Mus musculus: one gene and its partner. The protein of the gene in region 2 binds, or shares a complex with, the protein of the main gene of each other region. Links are inferred from orthologs where the notes say so. Each region holds a gene or a part of one and is shown on either strand. Other genes may lie near its edges.

Region 1 (3,646 bases), on a different chromosome or scaffold from region 2:
ACATCCAGCCACATAGACACCAATTTCCTTAGGTAGAATGTTCTGAGGTTAATTTTGACCAGACCAAGATTCCATCAATGGCGTTAATTAGATTTGAGTCTTTGTTTAATCAGAAAGTATGTGTGTCTATGCATGTGCATATGTGTGTGCATTCATGCATACGTGTGTGTGTGTGTGTGTGTGTGTGTGTGCATGCGCGCGTGTGCATGTGAGCACATGTGTATGTATGTGTGTGTCTGTCTGTCTGTCTGTCTGTCAGTCCTTGGTGACATCTGACAGAAGCTTTTGGTTGACTCTGGCACAATCCTCCTTGAAGTATTAGGGTTTGGCTTTTTGGTGTTTTTTGGGCATAGTAGAGCGAGAGGGTAGGGTGTTAGTGAGCCTGCATAAGTGCTTCTCCTGAGGTTGAGCCTCTGACCCACGTCACAGTAACATTCTTTCTTGAGAAAATCTTGCTGCCTCTTTTCTGGCGGTCTCCACCTGCTTTACTAAGTGGGAAACACCTTTAGGCCAGCACTCTCCAAGTCGGACCTACAACAAGGTCCAATTGCTAAGGAAAGAACGTAGCCGCACGTCTGCCTGTGCTTCAACCTCCCTCTTACAAGTCCTACGCCATGTCACTTTCAGTCATGCCCATCCCACATCAGCTGTGTAGCATGCGCGTAGCTGATGGGTGCCCAAGAGGGCAGAGTTGCCGTCCTTTCTTACTGGAAGGGCGGTGGAGAGGGCTGCTTTGAGCTGTGACTCGCCTTCTTTGTGTTGAGATTTTGTTTATCCTTTTCTCCATTTGTTTCCATTCCCCGTGTGCTGACTTTCATTTTGATTTTATTTATGTTTATGTTTAAGACATCCACACCTTCCTGTGCTAAAGCCCCGAGCCATAGGCCCTGCCTTAGCCCCACACGCCCCACTCTTGGTAGCTCAGACCCTTTGATCAAACCCTCCAGCCCTGCCGTGTGCCCTGAACCAGCCACCTCTCCTAAACACGTCTCTTCTGTCACACCCCGAAATGGCAGTCCTGGAACAAAGCAGATGAAACTCAAGGTAAGGAAACCAACTTTGGCGAGACCCAGGCTGCTGTACCGTGGTGTTCAAATGCTTTCTTCAGCTAAACTCACAGGCAGTGCTACATGGTTGAAGGACCAGGGAAGGCACTGGGGACTCGGAGCCCTGCTTTGTGCCTCCCTCTTCCCTGGAGATAGAAGTCCCTGATAACCAGGGGATCCGAGTTTGTAAATTAGGGCTCTGAGCTGAGCATGGTAACTGATGCCTATAACCAATCCCGGCACTGAGCATGATTTCCGTAAGTCAGAAGCTAGCTTGAGCTATACAGTGAGCTCCAGGCTAGCCTGGGCTACAGTGTGAGTGAGGTTCTAGCTTGAGAAATAAAGAAAGAAACCAGGTGTGGTAGTGCTCATAATCCCAGCACCCTGGAGTAAGAGGCAGGAGGCTCACCGCAATTGCCTAGATGGCCAGTAATATGTAGAAAGTCTCTTCCTCTTAAAAATGAATAGATGAATAAGTACATGATAAAGAAAGTCTCAGCTCCACCTAGAATTCTTACGGTAACTGGCCACGCCTCGTGGTGGGTGGCGTGTCCTCCAGTTGCACCCATTCATCCCGACAGTCCCTTCTCTCCTCCCTTCCTCCCGAGTCTGTGGTTTCTTTATGTAGCTCATGCCATGTCTGATGGTCATCTACTGACCATGAGACCCATAGCCACTCACAGTCTGCTGGCTGGCTGTGTTTGCTCTGCCTCAAGCTCCCAGCTTTCAGCCATTGTTCATGGCCGAGTCCCCAGGGGCTGTGGAGAGAGCCGAAAAAGACATGGTTTGGCCGTCTGTGAGTTCTTCTGAGGCCTGAAGCACATGTGGGTCTTCAGTGGCCTCTGTTGAACCCAGTCTCCGTCAGTCAGTTACATCTATACTTAAGAGTCTGAAAAATGGGTGTCCATCCACCAGGTGTGGTCTTCCAGGGTCAGCCTACTGATCTACCCTGACCCTGATCTTGCTTCAAGCAGTCCTGTCATTTTATAACACAGGCTAGCTCACCATGCGTCTAAGAAGATCCTGGTACTTGACATGCAGGTGAACTGTGGGGCTGTGTGCTCCACAAGCCCTCAAGACTTGTACAAGGCCTTCTCAGCATCTGTCTCCACCATCACCCTCTTCAGTCAAGGTGGGAGGATGGGGCTGACTTTTCCTTGGTGGCGGTCACCTTTCCCAGTGGTGAAAACCTTCCACCCTGATTCGGTTTACAGGGCGCTGATGGCAAAACCGGGGCGAAGATCGCCACACCTCGGGGAGCAGCCTCTCCGGCCCAGAAGGGCACGTCCAACGCCACCAGGATCCCGGCCAAGACCACGCCCAGCCCTAAGACTCCTCCAGGGTCAGGTGAGACTACTCTCTGGAGTTTTAATCCAGAAGCTTCCAGAAGGTACAACCCTTGCCTCAGGAGGCCACTGACAATTCGTAACCCCTGGCACCTACTAACCCTTGTGGTTTGTCTTCTTTTTAATCCTTTGACAATTGTCTGAGGTAGCTAGTGAGTCCTTGCCTTTTAATTGGTGAAGAGATCTTGCTCATTTTTCAAGCATGAGGAAAATGCAGTCACGTGATTAATAAATTGGAGAAAGGAGCATGGCCTCTAATCCATGGCTCTGGGGAGGCAGCCCCAGCATAAAGTGTTATCAGGTCCCCTACCTCTTTGGAGGATCAGTAGTCTGGGCGGGAAACCGTGGGGGAATCTCCAACATCTCAATGTCACGCAGCTGGGTTGTTAGGAACCTTCTAGTAAAGCTCAAGGGTCATAGCTGAGTGATGGCGTGCTACGGTCATTACTCCAGTCTCCTGTGAATAAAAGCCAGTTGGCATTAAGAACCTGGCCAGGCTACAGTGGGGCTGTTTCACGTCTAATAGAGATACCAGGAATAGAAGCCCTGAGGACCTGCTCCCAGAAGGGTTTTTGGATGCCTTGTGACTCTGTTGCCTGGCCTGCATTGCTCCCTGGTAATACCCAGGAGGCCTGTGGGCCCCTGTGTCTAGCCTGGCTCTTAGTGTCCCTGTTCTCTTGGCAGAGGCAGCCCGTATTGCCTGCTGCATGCTTCTGGTATTGTAAAGGGTGTTGCCTGAGAATTGGCTGTGTTTTCCCTAAGCAGCTGTGGTTCTGGTGTGTGTGTGTGTGTGTGTGTGTGTGTGTGTGTGTGTGTTTCTCATACACTGATGGTCTAGGAGCATTAATGATGTGCTAAGTGGGGTTCAGTTGTGGCACTTCACCCTTAACGCCTTGCTGGTCTCACTCCCACAATAGCCTGGAGCAGGGGCTCTTCCAGGCTCACCTGTGCTTAGGTGGCTCCGTGCTGATTGGCTACATCTTCCTTACTGGTCCCAGCATCTGTCCCTGCTTGTCTCTTATGCTAGGCAGACCAGCCAGCTGCTGTCACCTGAAGTACTCAGAGAGACTCCTGTGAACCTGATTATAATGAGGCTGTCTGTGGATTTTTTTTTCTTTTTAAGCTTCCAAGCAACCGCAGAGAAAACTACCCCCTGCAGGGGCAAAATCTGAGAGAGGTAACTCTGGGTCCATTGCCCTGAATGGGTGGGCAGACCCTCTTGGTGTGTATTCTGCCCTCGTGCTTGTCCGCAAG
Region 2 (3,746 bases):
CCCACAAAATACACTTTAATGAAAAGTCACAACCTGAATGCACTAAGTGTAGGAATAAAGAGTCACTGCCGCCCACCATGGAAATTCTTTCCTTTACCTTTCCAGAAAGGACCTCTTTTTGGTAGCCAAATGAGCAGTGTCCAGAACAGAAACACGGATAGGGCTAGCTTAAATTCGAGACACAGTACCTTCCGTGCATTAACTATTTAAAATTTGTGAACCCATACTTCCCCCGGGGTCTCGAAATCTAACATTAGAAACGGTCACTGGTAAATGTTGCTTCCAAAAATGATGTAAGCCTAAGTCAGTACAAACGTTCCCCCGCCAACCTCCCGGATAAGGGGAAGTGGATTAGGTTTCTCACAGGAAAACGAGCGCTCCTGGGCCTCGCCTTCAGACTGCGGGAATACTCGCCGCACCCACTTAACCCTTGGCTGCCTGAGGCCGGAGGGTGGGGCGAACCGAAACCGCGCAGCGGTGACTTTAAAGCGCTAGTCCTTGCGTCCGCGCCATCCGCAGCCACCTCCCCTCCTTGGCTCCGCCCAGGCTGGTGCCTCCGCGCTAGTCCCCGACTCTCTTTGTCATGGCGGAACTGTGTCAAGGAGCCCAACCTACTCCGACTGTGAATCGCCCCCCCACCCGGGCAGAGGGAGGAGCAGTCCGTGCACCCGCCCCAGTCGGAGGGTGGTGGTGGAGGGGGAGCAGATCACCCTCCCCGGGGGCCCGATGCCATCCGCGCCCGCAGAAGCGGAACCGCGGCCGGCCCGCGCCGGACACACCCCGCTCCCGCCCAGGGTCCCCTCCGCCGGTGTCCGACCCAAGCCCCGATGTCCCGACAGCTGCGGTAGGGGGAGGGGCAGGGCCCCACCCAGACAGGCGCAGCCCCCATCCTGGGGCCGCAGCTCCTGGAAAGATGCGAACCTCCCACCAGCCCAGGACGCTGGGGACCCCGTGCCCCGGTACCCCCACGCCTAGCTCTGGCCGCGCCCCTCCCCCACCGCGCGTCCCGAGAGTCCTTTCTGGCATTGCGGGCCCCAGCGAGCCCAGCCCAGGGTCCCTGGCGGGCCCCACCCCAGAGCCCCGCGTGCTACCTGGCTGCCCCCCGCCGTGGGGGAGGGGGTGGCGGGGGCGCCCCGGGTGGGGGCGGCCTCACCTGCGCCACGGCCGAGTCACAGTCGCGGGCGGAAGCAGGGTGCCGGCGGGGGCGGATCGCGGTCGCCCTCGGGAGCGGGAGCCCCTGGGTCTCGCGCGTGGGCGCCTCATCCGCCACCCCCACCCCGGGGACCAGAACGGGGCGATGAGCAGCCCGGCAGGCCAGAAGCAAGCGGCCGGGGGCGGCGGTGGGCGCCTGCCCGGGCCCGGCAGAGCCGAGCCGCCGCCCGGGTCCTCCTGAGAAGACCCCTCTCGGGCCGCAGCGCGGCGGCGGGCTGAAGGGACCGGAGGCCGACTCGGGCGGCTCCTCACCTGTGTCCGGAGTGGGTGGCGGCACACGGACGCGGCTCGGCGGTCTCTGGGCGGCGGCGGCAGCAGCGGTGGCGGCGAGGCTGAGACTCTGTCCCTGATCTGGCTGCTCACAGGCTACAGCCGCTCCGCAGACACGGGGTTTCCTCCAATCACTAGCCCCGGCAGCAGGGGCACCACACGCACGATGACGTCAAACGCTGCTATGGCAACCGTTGATTGGTGCCCACAGTTCTCCGGCCCGGCGCAACCGCCGCTCCCCTGCGCGCGCCCGGCCGGCCCGCCCGTGCCCGAGGGCGAGCGGAGGAGAGCGCGTACTCGCGCTCCGCTCCGCTCCCGACCCTGCCTTCACCCGCGTGCTCGGTTCGCTCCCCGCCGCCCCCGCGAGCTGCCCTCCCTCCCCGCCCCTGCGGCCCGCGGAAGGAAGCCTCTCCCCGCCCCCACCTCACTGGCGGGCACATCCGGGACCTTCGCGTTCCCCCCCACCCCCTTCCCGCTCGGCCGCCCTCTCTCTGCGCCGGTAATGGCGGTGGGCGGGTTGCGGGGCAGGGTGAAGGCAGCTCTACTGCCAGGGCATTGTGATCAGAAGCCGAGAGTAGGGCAGCGGCTCCGCCAACGCCGGGGCAGGGAGGCCCGGGCGCGGCTGCTCCCTCGGGCGGCCCGCTTTACCTTCTGGCTGCAGGAAGCGGCCTTAGACCTTTTAAGGCTGGGAAAAGCGCGAGGCTGAATGACGCCCTGCCTTTCCAGTCGCGAGCTCGGCGTCCACACCGTGACAGCCGCGGGGACAATGGGTGGTCGCTGGGAGGAGCGGGGAAAGGGTTGGGCTAGCGGGTTGGACGTGATCGTAGAAGCCTGACGTGGGGCGAGGCGGGGAAACAGGCTAGAACACACCGAACTGTTGTCGTGGGCTGCACTTTACCCTCTGTAGAGCTTTCATTGGGAGACACATTGTTCCTAATTAGCGCATTGTAAGAGAGTGACCGACCCTTTTAGGTCCTGGAAGCAAGGTTAGGGAGCGTGGCCGTTCCTAGGGCTCTAGCTGGAGGAGGAGCGAGGCTCCTCCGCCCGGAAAGGGGGGGGGGGGAGGAAAAGGGCGGAAATTGCAGGTGCCTGAACCCGCAAGGTCTCCACCCAGGAGACGGAAGTTGAAAGGAGATGCAGTCTCTATGAAGAATCTGTCCTTGCTCTCTTTAAATGTGCGCCTCTGAGCTAAAATATTTTCACTGAGCCCCTTCTGGGGCCTACACTAAGCACAACTGGAAAAAGAACCTCAGGAATTCAGCCCCAGAGCCCCCTGGAAGACTTCATGACAAGCATTCTTTCCCTACCACTGTCTTTCATCAGAATGTTGGTTACATTGTTTGAATCACAAGTTTGTTGTACAAATTATAATTTGCCTGAAATGACAGCTAGGTAGAGATTTGCCTGTGACCAGTTCAGTGTCGCTCCCCTCGCCAACCGCCCTCCCCCCTCCCAACACACACACCGGTTTCCACAGCAACAGATAACATGCTAAGCAGATGAGCAAATTAATTCAGGTTTTATCTCCAAGATACTGAAGTCAACTTACTTTGGCTGTAATGTAAATTCTTTCAGGGAGTGACTCACTTAAAATGACTATTTCAAAAGCTTTTATGTTTGCAGTTTTGTAGTAGGTGCTAGAAATTTGACAGAAGATACTAGGTTAAATCTTTTGTAAAATGGAAATGTCTGTTAATGTCTGTAATACACGTCTATATGGAATATACACCTCAGGGAAAGTTAAGAGATTTCTCTGCATAAATTGCAGACTTGTTTTGGAAAATAGTTTGGGCTTTTGCCTTGTGCATTAACTAGCAAGGTTTCTTTGTGTTTTAATAAACCAAAAGGTGCTTTTAGTTTTTACAAACTCCAATCAACATGTTTGCCTAATAAAGGCATAATAAGGCTGCAAGGGGGCCAGAATTAGATTTGCCATGGAAGGTCAACTGAGAAGAATTCTAAAGAATAATATGTAGCAAAGCCAAAACCCAGAGCCTATAGGCCTGAAGTATGGGGAAGTTACTGGTGAGTTTGATTAGCTGCCCAATTGTCTTCCTGTCTTCTTTACTTGGGTCTTACTTCATGCAGTTGATGTCTCCGCTATACTTTGATAGGCACAGTAGTAAAATATCAGCAATAAAAGTACTACCATCTGTGGCTGAGGAATGCATGTGTGTTTTCTCCATGTAGTTTACTGTAATTACATTTTGGGAACAATAAGGGTGGTAGCTGTCCCTGGTGTTCAAAACCCAGTGAAAACGAAG

What was found. Proteins that work in one complex are often made in the same cells at the same time.
Region 1: the proteins of Ywhaz (region 2) and Mapt are in contact, whole or in part, in a crystal structure (PDB 8QDV), measured with the Homo sapiens proteins. The link is inferred for Mus musculus from reciprocal best matches to the Homo sapiens genes YWHAZ and MAPT. Residues at the interface, in NP_001129171.1 of Homo sapiens: Glu14, Leu43, Ser45, Val46, Lys49, Arg56, Arg60, Lys120, Arg127, Tyr128, Glu131, Gly169, Leu172, Asn173, Val176, Glu180, Ile217, Leu220, Asn224; in NP_058519.3 of Homo sapiens: Ser637, Cys639, Gly640, Ser641, Leu642, Asn644, Ile645, His646, His647.

The regions. Positions count from the first base shown.
Region 1 is NC_000077.6:104,304,366-104,308,011, forward strand, and holds part of Mapt (microtubule-associated protein tau), read left to right. Parts: intron 1-2,260; coding exon 2,261-2,393; intron 2,394-3,646. UniProt on the Homo sapiens protein: Promotes microtubule assembly and stability, and might be involved in the establishment and maintenance of neuronal polarity.
Region 2 is NC_000081.6:36,792,015-36,795,760, forward strand, and holds the start of Ywhaz (14-3-3 protein zeta/delta), read right to left. Parts: upstream 2,525-3,746; 5' UTR 2,131-2,524; exon of another isoform or gene 1,906-2,130; intron 1,665-1,905; exon of another isoform or gene 1,662-1,664; 5' UTR 1,465-1,661; intron 1-1,464.